Neodiprion lecontei: one gene and its partner. Each later gene encodes a partner of the first gene's protein in a complex. Links are inferred from orthologs where the notes say so. Each region holds a gene or a part of one and is shown on either strand. Other genes may lie near its edges.

Region 1 (9,880 bases):
GTTTCGGTAAATCGGGTCTTTGTTTCCACCGTTTGAATAGGTCTTGTGCACTGAGAGTTCCATGGTATTCGTTTCTGTCGAGGCCCGGTTTGAGAATTTGCATTTAAATATTGAACGCCGGTAATCTTGTGCCGCCATCCGCCCAAATAAGGTTTTTTTATCGTACGATCTTCCACTTCCACGACGAGAACCATATTTTATATATTCTCGCCTTTTTCAATCTCCAATCAGTCGGATGTAAGGTAAAACAATGTTTCCGATTACAGAGAAAATAAAAAAATGATGTATCGCATTCACGGGTTTTTTGTTTTTCGTTTCTGCGTAACACGAACCGACGATTTATCGTACAAAGTTGTAATAATTGTATACTTCAATTATGCTTAGATACTAGCAACTTGGATTTTTGATGAAATAATAAATACTTGGAAAAGTGTCAATTTCACTTTCGTTTCTGTAATTCACCTAGTGTTTTGTTTTCATTCCTTGATATCGCCTGAGAATGAACAAAACAATCGAACACTTTTCAAATTCGATTAATCGACTGACTCGATTATTTTTCCTCGCAATCGGTTTTTGTTTTTTCACTCTCATGAACGATGCAGTACAATATCAGTTCATGTGGGTTTGTAACATTTTTTAAAAAAGAATGGTTGGGACGAAAAATCTGAAAAAAAATGGCGAGTGCTTTTTTTAGGTTGTAGAACCGTATAAAAAATAATGATGCAAATTGGCGGGGGTCAGGGAAAATGTCCTCTCAGTTGGCATAGAATACCTCATATACATATGTATCGATATAAGTTGCAGACACCACCGAAAAAAAAAAAATTAAAACGTCATTATTTGCGCCAATTATTGTAAACACTCATAATTCAACATACCAACTACCTAACAAGATTGAATCTGAACAATCTCGAATACGACATAAGCTAAGATATTCACAATTTGAGAACAATTTTTTTTTAAGCAGAATGTTAAAAATTACTGAACTCTGGTGTTTTTAATCAGATTCTAATGTTTTAGCGCTAATTTTTTTCTTGCTGATCAGTTCCACGCAAGATGTGTGAAAAACATTTATGAAAATCCCCATTACAGTATATAAATATCATTACTGACGAACATTTGTTGTAACGTGCTTACAAATACATATTTTCGTCTACTCTAGAAGTAACTATTTCTAAACTTTTTTCAGGCAATCTCTTGAGATCTATATAGTGAATAAAATAAGCTCAAAAACATTATACAATTGGGACTGAGATTGGATCTAAAAAATACCAGAGCTTAATCATTTTTAAAACCTTACAATGGTTGTCAAAACATTTTGTACATCTTTAAAAAACCTCAAAGAGTGTCTTATAAATTTTCCATTGCAAAAAACATTGGATTCAGACGGAATTCTAAAATCATCTAGGAAGTACATTTTGGCACAAAGATTGCAATTATTTTCAAAAGTGGATGTAATGTAAGCCCGGATTTCTTGTGAGCAAGATTCTAGTTAAACCGCTGACCAACACACCTCCGCTAATTATATAATGTAATAAATAAACGCTTATTTATAAGTTCCATTTCTTCATCATTGGCGAAAGTATCGGGTCAATCAGCACTGTGCGATCATGACATATCTAAAAAAGCAATGAGCTTATTGGCTAAACCTGGCTTGTTACTCTTTTCGCAACTTTTGATTCAACCGATGTGGCTCATTCATCCTGAAAATTACACACAGCACCAATCTTCTATGTTCAATAAGTTACTAACGTAACTTTAAAACGGAGAAATTGGATATCCCTTTATTACATAAGGCAGATACTTGTAAATTTGGTGTCCTATGTTTGGCAGATGATGCATTTTAATGCAAACACAGCCCGCAGTAAAGTGACGAGAGAGAGAAGAATAAAATGAAACTATTTCTAACAATGGATATTATAGTTTATTTACAGAAATACAGAAATTTTTGTCGTGAATGCGAAAGCATGAATGGAAAGAAACATACAAAGAATTTTAACATTTTTTACAACTTTCAAAACAGTTTTAATAAATATGAAAATTACTTGGACGCATAACTAATCCTCAAACAAATACAATAGACTCTCCATAATTCAATAACCGTTTGAAAAGAAATTCAGTTCACTCTGATATCTATAAGTAAAATTAGGGGAAAGAAATTTGAGTAAAGCTTCGTTACAAATTCAAAAAATCCACTCTTTCAATTCCTACCGCCATTTTAGATCACGTGCTATTATTCTTTCCTGATACATGTTATACTATCACTCTGTAAATTTGCAGTCAAAACCTACAGAACATTGAGTAAAGCACAACAATCACTCACTGAAAAAATACATTTTCTTAATGGATGAGTACAATTTCTAGACTTTTTCAAAACCATAAGATTCCCTGACTAGTCTCGGTTTACTTCCAAATCTAGAGCTGCCCTGTGAAGTACGTATTCGTATAGTACTGTATGCAAGGAGAAGCTGGGCCGAGAAGTAGGTATGGAGAGTCCACTGTAAACATATAGGTATGTATAACTATTGTATGTATGGGAATTTATTGAGGTAACTATAAAACAAGCTAAGCGAGTTTAATCAACGGAAAATGTTGGTGGCACGAAAAATCGAAAATCGGGGGTTCCGTCGAATCCTTTTTATGTCCTCCAGCCAAAAGTTTCAGGACAATAAAATTCGTCTTCGATACTTTGAGTAAATCATTAATCTGAAAACAATTTCGAAGTATTAAATTAGCAACGACATTGTATTAATGATTTCATCGGCACTTTGTGATAGACCAAGTGTATGTATATTACCTGATTAACTGTATGCACATTTGCTGGATACAAGGACAGAGCACTTTCTAACATATTTCTAGCCTGATGAAAGTGTCCGCAACCAGCCAGGTACTGCTTTTCACTTGTAACAGTTTCCTGTATTGCAAAAGAACACGTGAGTATACCGATGTATCTGAGCCGGTCCACAAACTTATGACCAGCTTTTAAGGGTTAAAATTTCAATCCGGCTGTTGTTCGGATATGTTGTAGTGTTCACTAAGATATAGAAATCCTGCATTTTTTAGATGTTTACCTAACCGTTCTTTTACGAGACTACAACATATCCATATTGCAATCAGATCGAAATTTTTATCCTACATACTATACATGTATACTTTACGAAACTATGGCACAAAATCTCCCAAAAAATCGGCTCAGGAAAATATTTAAGAAATTGCATTTCCCTCGGCAGTTTGTCTGCTGTCTTCTAATGTGACTTATAAAAGTTCGATGTTACTTTTTACCTACGATTTACACAGACTACTAACTTACATCTCTGTTTAACATCTGCCCACTTGTCATGTCTAGAAATTCCTGATAAGGAACTGGTGGAGGAGTTAATAATGATGCAAAAGGCAACAACCTGTGCTCGTATCTCACTCGCTCCGAGTCAAAGTGTGATTCGGGTAGAGGAATCTTTTTATCCATTCGAAATCCCATCAACGCCTGTGAAAATATCACACTTTAGACGAGGCTCATCAATGTCAACATAAATAACGGACAAACAGCGTCTTTGGTTATTCTTGAACTCATTCCAACAGATAATTTTGTAAATTTATAAATTAATTGATTCGAAAGAAATATTACAGAATCAAAAAAAATCTTGACCTTGTAGTACCCGCCACAAATATTCTGCATAGCTTGGTACATTAATATTTCTAGACTGTATGGTCTAGGGGTGGATTTTTTTTTCTTATTTTTAGCACTTTTTTTAGCCCCTCTGCCTTTGTGAGTTTCACTATGAATATCTTGTTCCATGAGAAAGGAGTCCGCTCTTGTGATTGCAGACATAAGCCACCCATATAAAAACTCGTACAGGTACCAAAATATATAATGATACTCATGGACCGAATATAATTCCAGTTCAAAACCACTCAGTAAATACATAACCATCACACGCAGCGTGTGGTACAATATCCATGTGCCAAAATATGCCAAGTGTGGCCTTGGAGTGTCGCTTTTCAAAGATAGTGTGTGCAGATATGAATCCACTCTTTCAGCCTGTAAAAATTAATTTCAGGATCAATCCACTGAGAAAAATCTCATTTGTCATAACTACTTCTAAATTTTTGCATAATGAGTAACGATACAGTAACGGTACAACTACATTTTCTGGTTATTGCAACGTTAAATCTATTTTTTTGTTGAATAAAGCTCTAACATCAATTTATTGTAGCCTCAACATCGAATTATTACGCAAGTTACAATAAAATATAGGAGTGACCATCTAATTAAACGAAAAGTAACACATACGAGATATTCGGGTTGCAGTTACAAAACTCTTGTCTATTTTTTATCCCGAAGTACATTTATCAGTATGATGAAAAATAAAAGTAGCTAAGGACTGTATGATAACCACAATTAGAAATTTTTCTCAGTGTATTACTCATCAATCGATGAACAGTAAACAGGAAAATACTACATAATAAATTGGCAGTTATTTCAAATCAAGTGATATTACAGGACATTGCTTCAATTGCATGACTCTTTTCAGTTTTCTCAACTTTTTAAACTCCCAACTAGGGCTGCATTGATTAGCGGAGGTTTAAACTCGACTTGACTACTCAGCATAGATTTTCTGCAAATTCTTTCACTTTTGCTACAAATGTTGATGTTTCTAGTTCAAAATACCTCATCTTGTAGAGCAGCAAAGTCTTCTAACAAATGGGCCAGTTTATCTCTTTGCCGCGCTCGATTGTGTCCACTAAGTTGCACTAAACTACCGAACAAGCATACACAGTGGCCCAAGAACCCATCAACATAATCCTTTGCTTGGTGATTCTGCAGTAGTGTGATTTTCGGCATCAATGCTGGAGGAGCAATAAAAGCCCTAGCAGCATCTCTCAATACATCACCGAAACTTTGAGTTCCAAAAACTCGATTGGTTAGAGGCAGGTAAACGATTTGTAGCATGGATCTGGATAGTATGCATGGGCTTTGGCGTGAAAACTCTAAAAAGAAATCCTAAAAGCAGGAGCATTATTTGTAATTTGTGGAAAAGGTTTTTTTTTCACATTTGGCACAATAAAGTAAATTTTCTTACGGACTTGATAACTCATGAACATTGTTACTATAATTGTTGTACAATCAGATATGTTTGTATGTTATTTGATGGCCAATTTATTTACCAAAGCGCCGTGGAAGCTAGTGTACCCCGTTATTTTGCTGACCGTTTTCAATCGATTTAATAATTCATCTATGTACTCCAAGGCCTCACTTCGTGGTTTGATTTTCGTGTATCTTGGAAACGTCGGAGGCAATAACCGCTGATTTACCATAGGGTCAAAACCCATAATGTTTGGATGATCGCCTGAAATAAGGATTGACGTCATTCTAAAAGTTTTTCAAAACGCATGTTTACAAAAGTCAAAGAAATTTAAATTAAAATCAGTAGTTATCTAATACTTTTGCATTAGAGGAAAAATTTGAATTTGCAATAAGATCTTGTCAAGTTATGAAAATAATTTTTACAGTTTGCAAATTCTTTAAACAGTACAGTTAAATAGTCATAATCGCTTGTAAACCTAATTAACTCAGGTAGAAAGTATACTAACATAATTCGTCAGCTTTTACACCTCGAGAAACAGTTTTTATCATGACCTGCATCATGTCAGAGCAGTTTGATAAAAGCCTTTGACAATCAGCCAAGTTTTGATGGAGCTGCTCTTTCCTTCCCATGAGCGACAGGGTTTGATAAAACATCTTTGTGAACCTTATTCTAGCATATAAGGCCAGAGCATCATTATACTGTGGAAAAAAAATCAAATTACTCAACGTTCGCAGTCGCAATTCTGTAATCATTCATAATTTATGTTCTAGTTTGAACGACTCAGTAATCGACAATCTCGACTATGATGTGATTATACTTGGACAAATAACTCTCGAGTTGTAATAAAATAATAACATCGTAAAATCTTAGGATGCAGCTAAGCGTATCGAAGATACCACAAGTTAAAATTTATAAAACATTTTAATAAAATACAAGAAAAAGGACTTACTTCTCGATTAGACTCATCATCGACTGGTTTTATTCTACTTTTTCTGTGCAATTCCTCTTCCACCTCTTTCAGCATTGCTATAGTCTTTTGCTCTGTAATATCCTGTTGTAATCTGTAGCCATATGTTACGCTTTGGAAATCTTCCTCCTCAAAAACCATAGCCTTGTTAATACAGTCTTTAATAATTTCAATAATCTTATAAATTGCATAACAAAATGTTCGCAATGACTTGTCCAATATTTGACCTGGCTGATGCAAGTACAAATTAGTAAACACAGTTTGCGCCAAACTGTGCCCTTCAAGCCAAGAGACTATGCAAGAATACGTCGAATCAATGATTCCGATCACTTCGGCCAAGGTTAAATTATGCAATTTTAATGCCCCAGAGTCTACTGCCTGTTTGAACGAATATGGCTTGCTGTTTCCTCGATTGCACAACATCCCGGCGTCCATTTTTGGGTCCATCATTTCGATAGCAGACATGGCTTCAAATAGGCCGAATAATTCATCGTGCAAAAGTTCACCCAATTCCAAGCCTGAATATAGGTAACGTTAGTCAATTAAATTACAATAATTGCAATCCGTCAATCTTCCAGAAGATGGTCACAAAAAGCTTTAAAAGTATGGATAAACATACAACTAATAATTTCTAGAATACAATGAGAATACTGCTTACTTTGCACGGAACTGAAGAAGTCATTTGTGATATCAACCCAGTTGTATGTCAGCTGGTCGAAACTGAAAGTTTAAAACAGAAATAAAGATGAGCTTGAATTACGTACAGTCAATGTCATGAATCATTTTTTAAAACATTACCATATTGCATCTTCAGAATTACCTTACAGGAGTCAGATTTTTCAAAATAACATTATATTTTGCCGTATTTCTAGTCTACTGAGTTCCAAACGATTCTAAAGTTACGACATACATGATTTTTCTTAAAAATGTAACGTTATATCAACGTTACAAACTTTATACTCATAAATTGAATACATTTTTTTTCAATTTTCCGCCATTTTACAATCAAAAGATGGTGAAAAAATTACTTCGATTCCATTTAGATAGAAGGAAAATATAATAATTAAGTAAAACGTGTTTTGTATAGAAATAGCTTTGGAGTATGGATTGGGGTTGACTTATTCCTAACCTAAAAATGACAACATTTTCGGAAGACTCGTCAAATCGGGTTGTTGGATGAAAATGTTAACTTACTGCATTTCTTTCTCGTGAATATTTTCAACTAGATCTCTTGCCAAAGCTGTCATTTTAAAAAATTACTTCATTAGATATTATAATTAAACCTTCCTATAATATTTTCCTATTCCACTGCAATAATTTGCAGCACATTTGCGCCTGCAGTAATGTCACCGATATAGAGATCAGTCAGTAATGTCCACAGGCCAATCGCTTATTCCCACCATCTACCAACCCATTTTCGCATAAATCCCTGCTTTTTTACGTTCAGCAATGGTTTTCACCCTGGCTTTTACTTTTTACTTTCCACTGCGTTCGTCCGTAAAAAAACACAGACTACAGATCGCTTGGTTGTATATTTCTTACGTCCGTGCATTTTTCACATGATTTTTCGCATTTCGAGAATTTTTACCTAGGACCCTAGGAAGGAAGATTTTACCCACGGACAAGCCACTGACTTAATTTTACCAACTGAAAAATTTACCCCTAGACAGCGCTGGTGTCTTGTATCTAAAATATCGCCAACTTTAAAATGAAGTATTACTTAATGTATTTTTGTTTTCAGGAGCGTTACGTATATAGAAGTGTCAACAAAACACAAACATCACATCGTTAGAACATAGAATTTCGTAGTTCAACACTACAATAATATGAAAATTGTACGTTTTTTGTGACTGTAACTATAATCTTCATTTAACATGATCTTCGTTCATTGCTACCGTAACCAGAAACTTCATCGTAGACAAAAGATTTTGACTATGTATACGTTGACTGAAGTATAGTCTTCAGTCAACGGACAGACGTTGGGTATTATTATGTAGAGACGATTTCCGCGATTTCAAAACTCCCGCGGCCGCTCAACCGCCTACAGCCAATCAGAATCGTTGATTGGAGTAACCACATAGGGAGTTTTGAACAGTGGTTTTCAACACTGAAACACGGTGGATTTCGGAAATCAGAAGAAAATTGTCTTTATTACAGCTTAGGCCGTGTTCGTAAATTGACTGCCAGTACTAAAAATTCCCTAGGACAGAGACAGAGCTGTCCATGAACTCGGCAGCACAAAAGAGATAAAAGATTGTTGACAGTACTGTCAGTCAATTTTCGAACACGGCCTCAGTCACTGACTCATGCTTCAGTGGAAATGTCACTTCTGCGTGCGTCTGCCTCACAGACTTAACAATCACTTAAATCTCGTAATTAACTTTTCTCATTGTCTATAAATCAATACGCCCACAATTGCCCTAAGGGTTCCGTTTAAAAACGGACTGAAACACGAAGAAAGTTTCTTTGCAAACTTTATCAGGGATATTTCCCTGCTTGTAGTTACATCCAGTGGAAGGTAAAATCTCGTTCCTGGATTATTGGCATTTGTTCATATTCGTATTATGCAGGCGGTGAATAAAAACTGATAAAAACTGAGCCTTATCATTTCGCCAACGTTACAACAAACAACATTTTGTTGATAATTTACTAGCCAAATGCATTACTTACATTTTTCAAAATCCAACTTAACCAAAAAGTGTAAACAGCTATTGCTGACTAGTTTCATACACACATCGCAAAATACTTGAAATCACTGAATAACTCCTATAACAATTTTCCAAATTTAAGATTTATATTAGGCTACTTTTCTCATGCTGTTATCAGTCGTTTAACATCAATTACTTTCATTACATTCCTCATTGTAATTCAGTTTCAGTCTTTAAAGATCGACTGCGTCTGAATTACATCGTATATCTTTAAATAAGTTTGATATATTGTTTTGCGACGAATCCTCCTGCATAACTTTAATTCTATTACATTACGTTATCATTTTTTTTTTAATGTAAAATCCAATGCAGATCCAAATTTCTTGGACTTGTGTTTGTGTATCCACCTGTATTTAAATCTAATTACAATTATTGTTATTTAAATTTTAAAAAAATTAAAAGCTTCGTAGCTGTTAGACTTTACTGCGCTAATCCTAAATTTAACGATCTTGTTTCATTTTGAATTATCCATTTACTATGTTCTTTTCATTTCGAATTGGACTGCAGTAATTAAAATGAGTACGCTTGTTGAACTATAAATTTTTTTCAGAATAGCAAAATAATGCTCAAGTGGAATTTCTGATTCAATTCAAAAAATTCAAAACTCAAATATAGTATACCAGAAGTTGCGAACAAAATTGTTTAGCTTTCCATTACATACTTATTTATGTTTACCACATTGTAAAATGTATTATATTATTGCTAATATCCAATTGCAGCAATTTTTCACTTGTATTTTTTCTCAACTGTTAGCTTACGTAAGTTATGACACAAAAAATAATTATGCCCAAATTTATCTACGTTTTTTCTAGATCAAAACTCAGCGATGTCATCAACGGAGCAACTGGCGATTGTCCAATCGAAATTCACGTCGGGTGAAACAGTAGTTATTGTATCCTTGTTGAATGAAAAATTTGAATAAAAGTGAAATGAAGAGTTTAAAATAAATAAAAATAATAATTTATTGCGAGTCGTGCAATCTTGCACTCAGCATTATAATTTTCAAAGACGCAAAAGGTATCTGAAAAATTATAATTTGGTAATTTGGAAAACCTGAAAAAGTCAGGATATTTTACAATCCAAAATTAATAACCATCCCAGAAATTCGACTCCACTTC
Region 2 (4,845 bases), on another chromosome or scaffold:
GATCGTATTTGTGTTATAGATCTATACACGCATATCTGCACACTTAAAACTTGTGACAATTATTCGACAATGTGTCCTAAAACTGTAAAAAGGCATTGTAAATATTCATCAATATTATCTATACGGAATACCTGGAAAATAATAACGGACAGTGAACTAAATAATTCAGAGAGATAAATATATTTCAAATATGTTTACAAAAAACAGAAAAAATCGTGCATTACCGTAGTTATTGCTGGAAGCCCATTTACTTCTAATCGTTACCTCTGTACACATTATAGTATCCGTAACTAATGGAGTGCTACATGGTTGACAAATTAACATATGTGATGCTGAATATTGATGTAAGGTTTATTAAATCTTTAAGCATGTAAGCTAAAACATGAAACTTAGAATTACACAGATGACGGAGGATGTGGCGGATGAGGAGGAGGAGGAGGAGGAGGAGGAGGAGGAAGAGGAGGTGGTGGTGGTGGTGGTCCCCAAGCATGTGAGGGGGAGGATGAGAATCTGGTCGTGAATATTGATGTAAAGTTTATTAAATCTTAAGTATGTAAGCTAAAACATGGAATTTAGAATTACATAGATGGCGGAGGAGGTGGGGGAGGAGGAGGAGGTGGTGGTCCCCAAGACATATGAGGGTATGGATAAGGATTAGGTCGATAAAAATTCGTTCCATAATAGGGAAAGTTAGGCCGAAAATTCGCCGGTTGACCAAACACATATTCTGGATTTGTTGGAAGACACATATTATTTTGTTGGTACCGATTAGTATATAGATGACATTGACACTGACTAGAATTAAATGTGCTGGGGTGTCTGTACCGATGAGGGGAAGACTGATTAGGCGAGTGAGTTACGTTTTGTAAGTTGGGCGAATTTTGAAATGAAGGCCGACAATTATCAGAGATCCATCGAAGCGTACCATGGCCGGAATTTGGATTTGGTGGGCGGTTACCATAGTTTTGAGATCTCCAGTCAGTGCCCCAAGGATTTCGAGGACGTTCTATAATAAGCGTATTAATGAAATTTCATAATATTTTTTATGCTATCACATTACCCGAAATTAGCTAACTTTGTTAAGAGATTTACAAATTTACTGAAACATACTTACCGGGGCATTGACGTTTTTGTGGGATCACTACATCACCACAGTTATCATGACTCTCTGACATTCCTGGTCTGTGACGTTGCTTTTGTCTTTGCAGCTGATTATAAGCTCGTTCCTCCTCATCATCTGAAAATTCTGGAGGCTCCATATCGTCTTCTCCAGAGATATCAGCACCTTTCAGCCTAGTAAGAGTTGAAAATACGTGTTTTCAAATGTTCACTAACTGACTTGGGAATCGATGGCCATGTACTGAGAGACTGCGATGTAAACTTAAGAGGTAAATATTTACTTGACTAATTCGTGAAGGAAGACCAGAGATGTGTGCTCATCGTTTAGAGAATAATATACTTCCATTCCCAAAACAATCCCCGATTGTTGAATGTGTGCTTCGCTGTTGAATCGAACACAATATTGAGGATCAGCCACATGACCAAATACATCAAACACCTTGCCAAGGACTTTTTGGCCTTTTTCAAGAAATAAAATTGAATCAAGATTTAGAGTGGGTTTACCCGAAACTGGTCGTACTATAACAAACTCCTCTACAAACCCAGTGACCTAGAGGCATATAAAATTATTATTTCACGAAAATAAAACAAAATTACATCATCTATTCTATCTTCCGTCAAATATAGAAATATTTACCTCGCCTAGGTGGTCACATGATTCTTCAGGTACTGTAATTTTCAATTCTTCGATTGGCGGTAGACCCTCAAACTCACTTTTAATATTTTTGATTTTTGGTAAATCAATTTTACTGACCCGTATAGGGCTGCAATGTAACAATCATACGTCACAAACAAAATCTTGTCCACACAAACTGCAGTATTCATCAACAAGCAATTTTTCACATCAGGTAAGGAATATTTAGCAATGTCTTACCTGTCTGATTCGCTATCAATATCACTATCGGTTTCTGTGGTATAATTGCTACCACTGGAATTTATACTACTAGATCCACTTTCAGAGTCATCATCTATAGACTCCATTCGATACTGTGTGTTATTTTGTCTCACATTGCCACGGTCATCAACAATGGTAATTACTTCGCATGGTGATGATGGTCTTTTTTCATTTTCATCCGAATCAGAACTTGCATATTCTGCCGCTAAATACGATAAGGAATTTACTACGTTTATTACCTCTACTTTGGAGATACCATCCCTTGAGTTTGAAGCTGCCTGAGCTTTTATTAAATCCATCGAAGCTGCGTTCTCAACGCTTTTGTCTTTTTGCATCAACTCATTTTGATCACTATTTTTGATCTCAATAGGCCTGTCATTCTGTGCGTCTTGAGCAACCAGTTGACCAGGCAATGTGATCAAATTTGCTGTCCGAGTTGCGTGTCTTTCTTGTATTTCTGGAGTATCAAGTCCATTTCCAACAACTTTCAAGGATTCGACATCATCTATGCTAATAGGTACATTAATCTGACCTTCCTCAGTGGTCACATTGGCCTCGACAGAATCATTTACTGATTTCATATACGAGCTGTCAATCTCCATTAGATCATGCTTCGAACTTGTTTCTGACGTATGTTGAAGCAACTTTATCGAGTCCGTAATTTCATCTTTCTCTGTGACATCTTTGATGTTAGAATATACAATTTTTACATCATCTACAGTGTCTCTTACATTCTCTTCACCGATATCCACCCTGCTTGATTTTGAGGTTAGAAGAATATCTTCGCGCTGATTCTCAGGGTCCCTTACGCCCTCGGAAGACATGGTATTATGATTTATTGGTAATTTACTTTGGTGTAGACAGTATTTTTACATGCGAAATGAACAATAGTTAATGATGTACATACCGCGGAAAGTTTAAAAAATACCATGCGCCATAGCTCCGCCGTCTCAGCTACTTTCCGCTCCCTCTAGCTCGGTATTATCTAACTTCCACCGAGTTTCTTCAACACTTTGATAGATGTCAGGAACGGTTTTATTTTGTCAACGATTTTGTTGTTGCTGGTTTTACTTGTGGAAAATTGCGCAAGCAAACTGATTGTAATTGTATAATACGTTTAGATTTTCACCTATCCTAATAAATCAACAAGAATATGAAAGACACGGTGCACAGCATGTCGACAACTCCAAATACTGAGGCTGTTCACGGTAACGGAGAGGTAATTGGATCGTGACAATTAGCGAATGTGACGGTTATGATAATTTAGAAAATTTTTGTCTAAAAATGTGGTATTATTTATTTCAATTAAAAATGACTACCTTTAGCTAATACAATCCATAACTGAACAAACACATGAGGTATAATTGATTTGTTTTAATTCATGTTTTTTTCAGGCCTTGCCAGTGGAGGAATCACCAGCCAAACTAAAATTGAGAGGATGGCTGAATCGTCACCTTAAAATCAAAATGACCGATGGCCGAGTTTTGACGGGGGCTTTTTTATGTACAGATCGTGATGCCAATGTTATTTTAGGCTCGTGTTCGGAATTCTTGTCAGAAGAACACACCGAAGCTAGAGCCCTGGGGCTTGTTATGGTGCCAGGTCGACACATTGTAACAATTCACTTAGACGCATAATTAATAATAAGTATAAGAATAAACTATTCTACGTCTGTACATTGACCAGTCAATACATTTTAGTAACATATTATCTTACGATTCTCTCACAAATATCAACATCCAGCACAACTGAAGTAACCTGTAAAGGTCATTGTTGTCTACAAAGTTATTATAATCGGCACAGCCCTCGGCTCAAACAAAATGATGGTTTTTGGATTGATATTCTTTAAAAGTAACATCGTCAGTCAGTGGAGACACCATTTTTGAATACCTAACCAGCTGACGTCAACGTTTAATGTAAACAAGTGCTGCGTGGCACGGTAACTGACAGAAGCAGAACCCCAAACGTCGTCGTGGAGTGAAATGTCAGTGTAAGATTCCACGGTGTTAAAATACCGTGAAGATCCAAACATCTTTGTGCAAACGGAGTGTTAAGATGCACGACGCCTACGAAGCTTCACCTCTCTTGAAATTGACAGTTCAGATCGAATCAATTACTGCTTACGGTAATGAGCGCCAAACATAACCTCAATCGTTCTACACCTTAACTGAAATAACTGTGCAGTATTCTAAATTATATATAAAACGCAACTTTGAATTATCAGTGAAACTTTTTACTTACAGATGATAACTTACTCATCGGCACTAGACAGGGACATTTGTTAATGTACAGTGTTCCTCCAAAGTCAAACGACAAACAAGAATTACAATTGCTTCGATACGGTAAAAACTTTAGCAAAAAACCTATTTTGCAGATCGAAGTTGTACCAGAGTACAACTTGTTGATACTTTTGACCGGTGAGTCGAATAAGAAAATAAAAATTTGAATTTTCAATTGCCAATAAGGCGATAACAATGTCCGAAAATCAATGTTTTAGACAACATCATTTGCGTACATGACTTAAATTCTGCAACAATCCCTCAAATATGTCAGTTGCAAAAAACGAAAGGTGCGACGCTCTTCGTGTTGGATGTACAACGTACTCAGAGTTTGACAGGTGAAAAAGATACAATTGTTCGCTTGTGTGTTGCTGTGAAGCGAAAATTACAATTGTACGAGTGGAAGGTGGATCAATTTATAGACTTTGGAGAAGAATTAACTGTTCCTGATGTGCCTCGAGTCTTGTCGTGGTACGAAACAAGTTATTAGATTGTAAAAGAAAAAGGTTGAGCAGCAATTGGTTGCATATCTTATTTAAATTTGCTCGGAAC

The links.
Region 2: the proteins of N-alpha-acetyltransferase 35, NatC auxiliary subunit (region 1) and N-alpha-acetyltransferase 38, NatC auxiliary subunit are in contact, whole or in part, in a cryo-EM structure (PDB 7MX2), measured with the Homo sapiens proteins. The link is inferred for Neodiprion lecontei from reciprocal best matches to the Homo sapiens genes NAA35 and NAA38. Residues at the interface, in NP_001308810.1 of Homo sapiens: Val30, Asp31, Ile32, Thr33, Phe36, Ala39, Cys40, Leu43, Leu45, Glu47, Leu48, Leu49, His50, Asp51, Phe54, Glu58, Ala59, Ala62, Ile63, Glu64, Met65, Met66, Ala72, Gly73, Met74, Gln306, Arg307, Leu309, Pro310, Pro311; in NP_001307854.1 of Homo sapiens: Ala41, Arg42, Leu45, Glu46, Leu48, Leu49, Arg61, Phe67, Leu68, Cys69, Thr70, Asp71, Arg72, Cys74, Ile77, Arg97, Val98, Leu99, Gly100, Leu101, Ala102, Met103, Val104, Pro105, His108, Ser111, Ile112, Glu113, Val114.

What each region holds. Positions count from the first base shown.
Region 1 is NC_060266.1:18,010,087-18,019,966, forward strand, and holds N-alpha-acetyltransferase 35, NatC auxiliary subunit, read right to left. Parts: upstream 7,421-9,880; 5' UTR 7,302-7,420; coding exon 7,249-7,301; intron 6,775-7,248; coding exon 6,713-6,774; intron 6,573-6,712; coding exon 6,037-6,572; intron 5,786-6,036; coding exon 5,593-5,785; intron 5,349-5,592; coding exon 5,167-5,348; intron 5,003-5,166; coding exon 4,670-5,002; intron 4,040-4,669; coding exon 3,647-4,039; intron 3,485-3,646; coding exon 3,311-3,484; intron 2,915-3,310; coding exon 2,798-2,914; intron 2,707-2,797; coding exon 2,566-2,706; 3' UTR 1,916-2,565; downstream 1-1,915. Other genes in the region: IQ and ubiquitin-like domain-containing protein, read right to left, coding at 1-194; inositol polyphosphate 5-phosphatase OCRL, read left to right, coding at 9,589-9,654. UniProt on the Homo sapiens protein: Auxillary component of the N-terminal acetyltransferase C (NatC) complex which catalyzes acetylation of N-terminal methionine residues. N-terminal acetylation protects proteins from ubiquitination and degradation by the N-end rule pathway.
Region 2 is NC_060265.1:27,128,241-27,133,085, reverse strand, and holds N-alpha-acetyltransferase 38, NatC auxiliary subunit, read left to right. Parts: upstream 1-3,023; 5' UTR 3,024-3,167; coding exon 3,168-3,233; intron 3,234-3,408; coding exon 3,409-3,651; 3' UTR 3,652-3,724; downstream 3,725-4,845. Other genes in the region: H/ACA ribonucleoprotein complex non-core subunit NAF1, read right to left, coding at 579-1,006, 1,115-1,293, 1,401-1,669, 1,757-1,883, 1,994-2,838; vam6/Vps39-like protein, read left to right, coding at 4,070-4,139, 4,258-4,431, 4,512-4,764.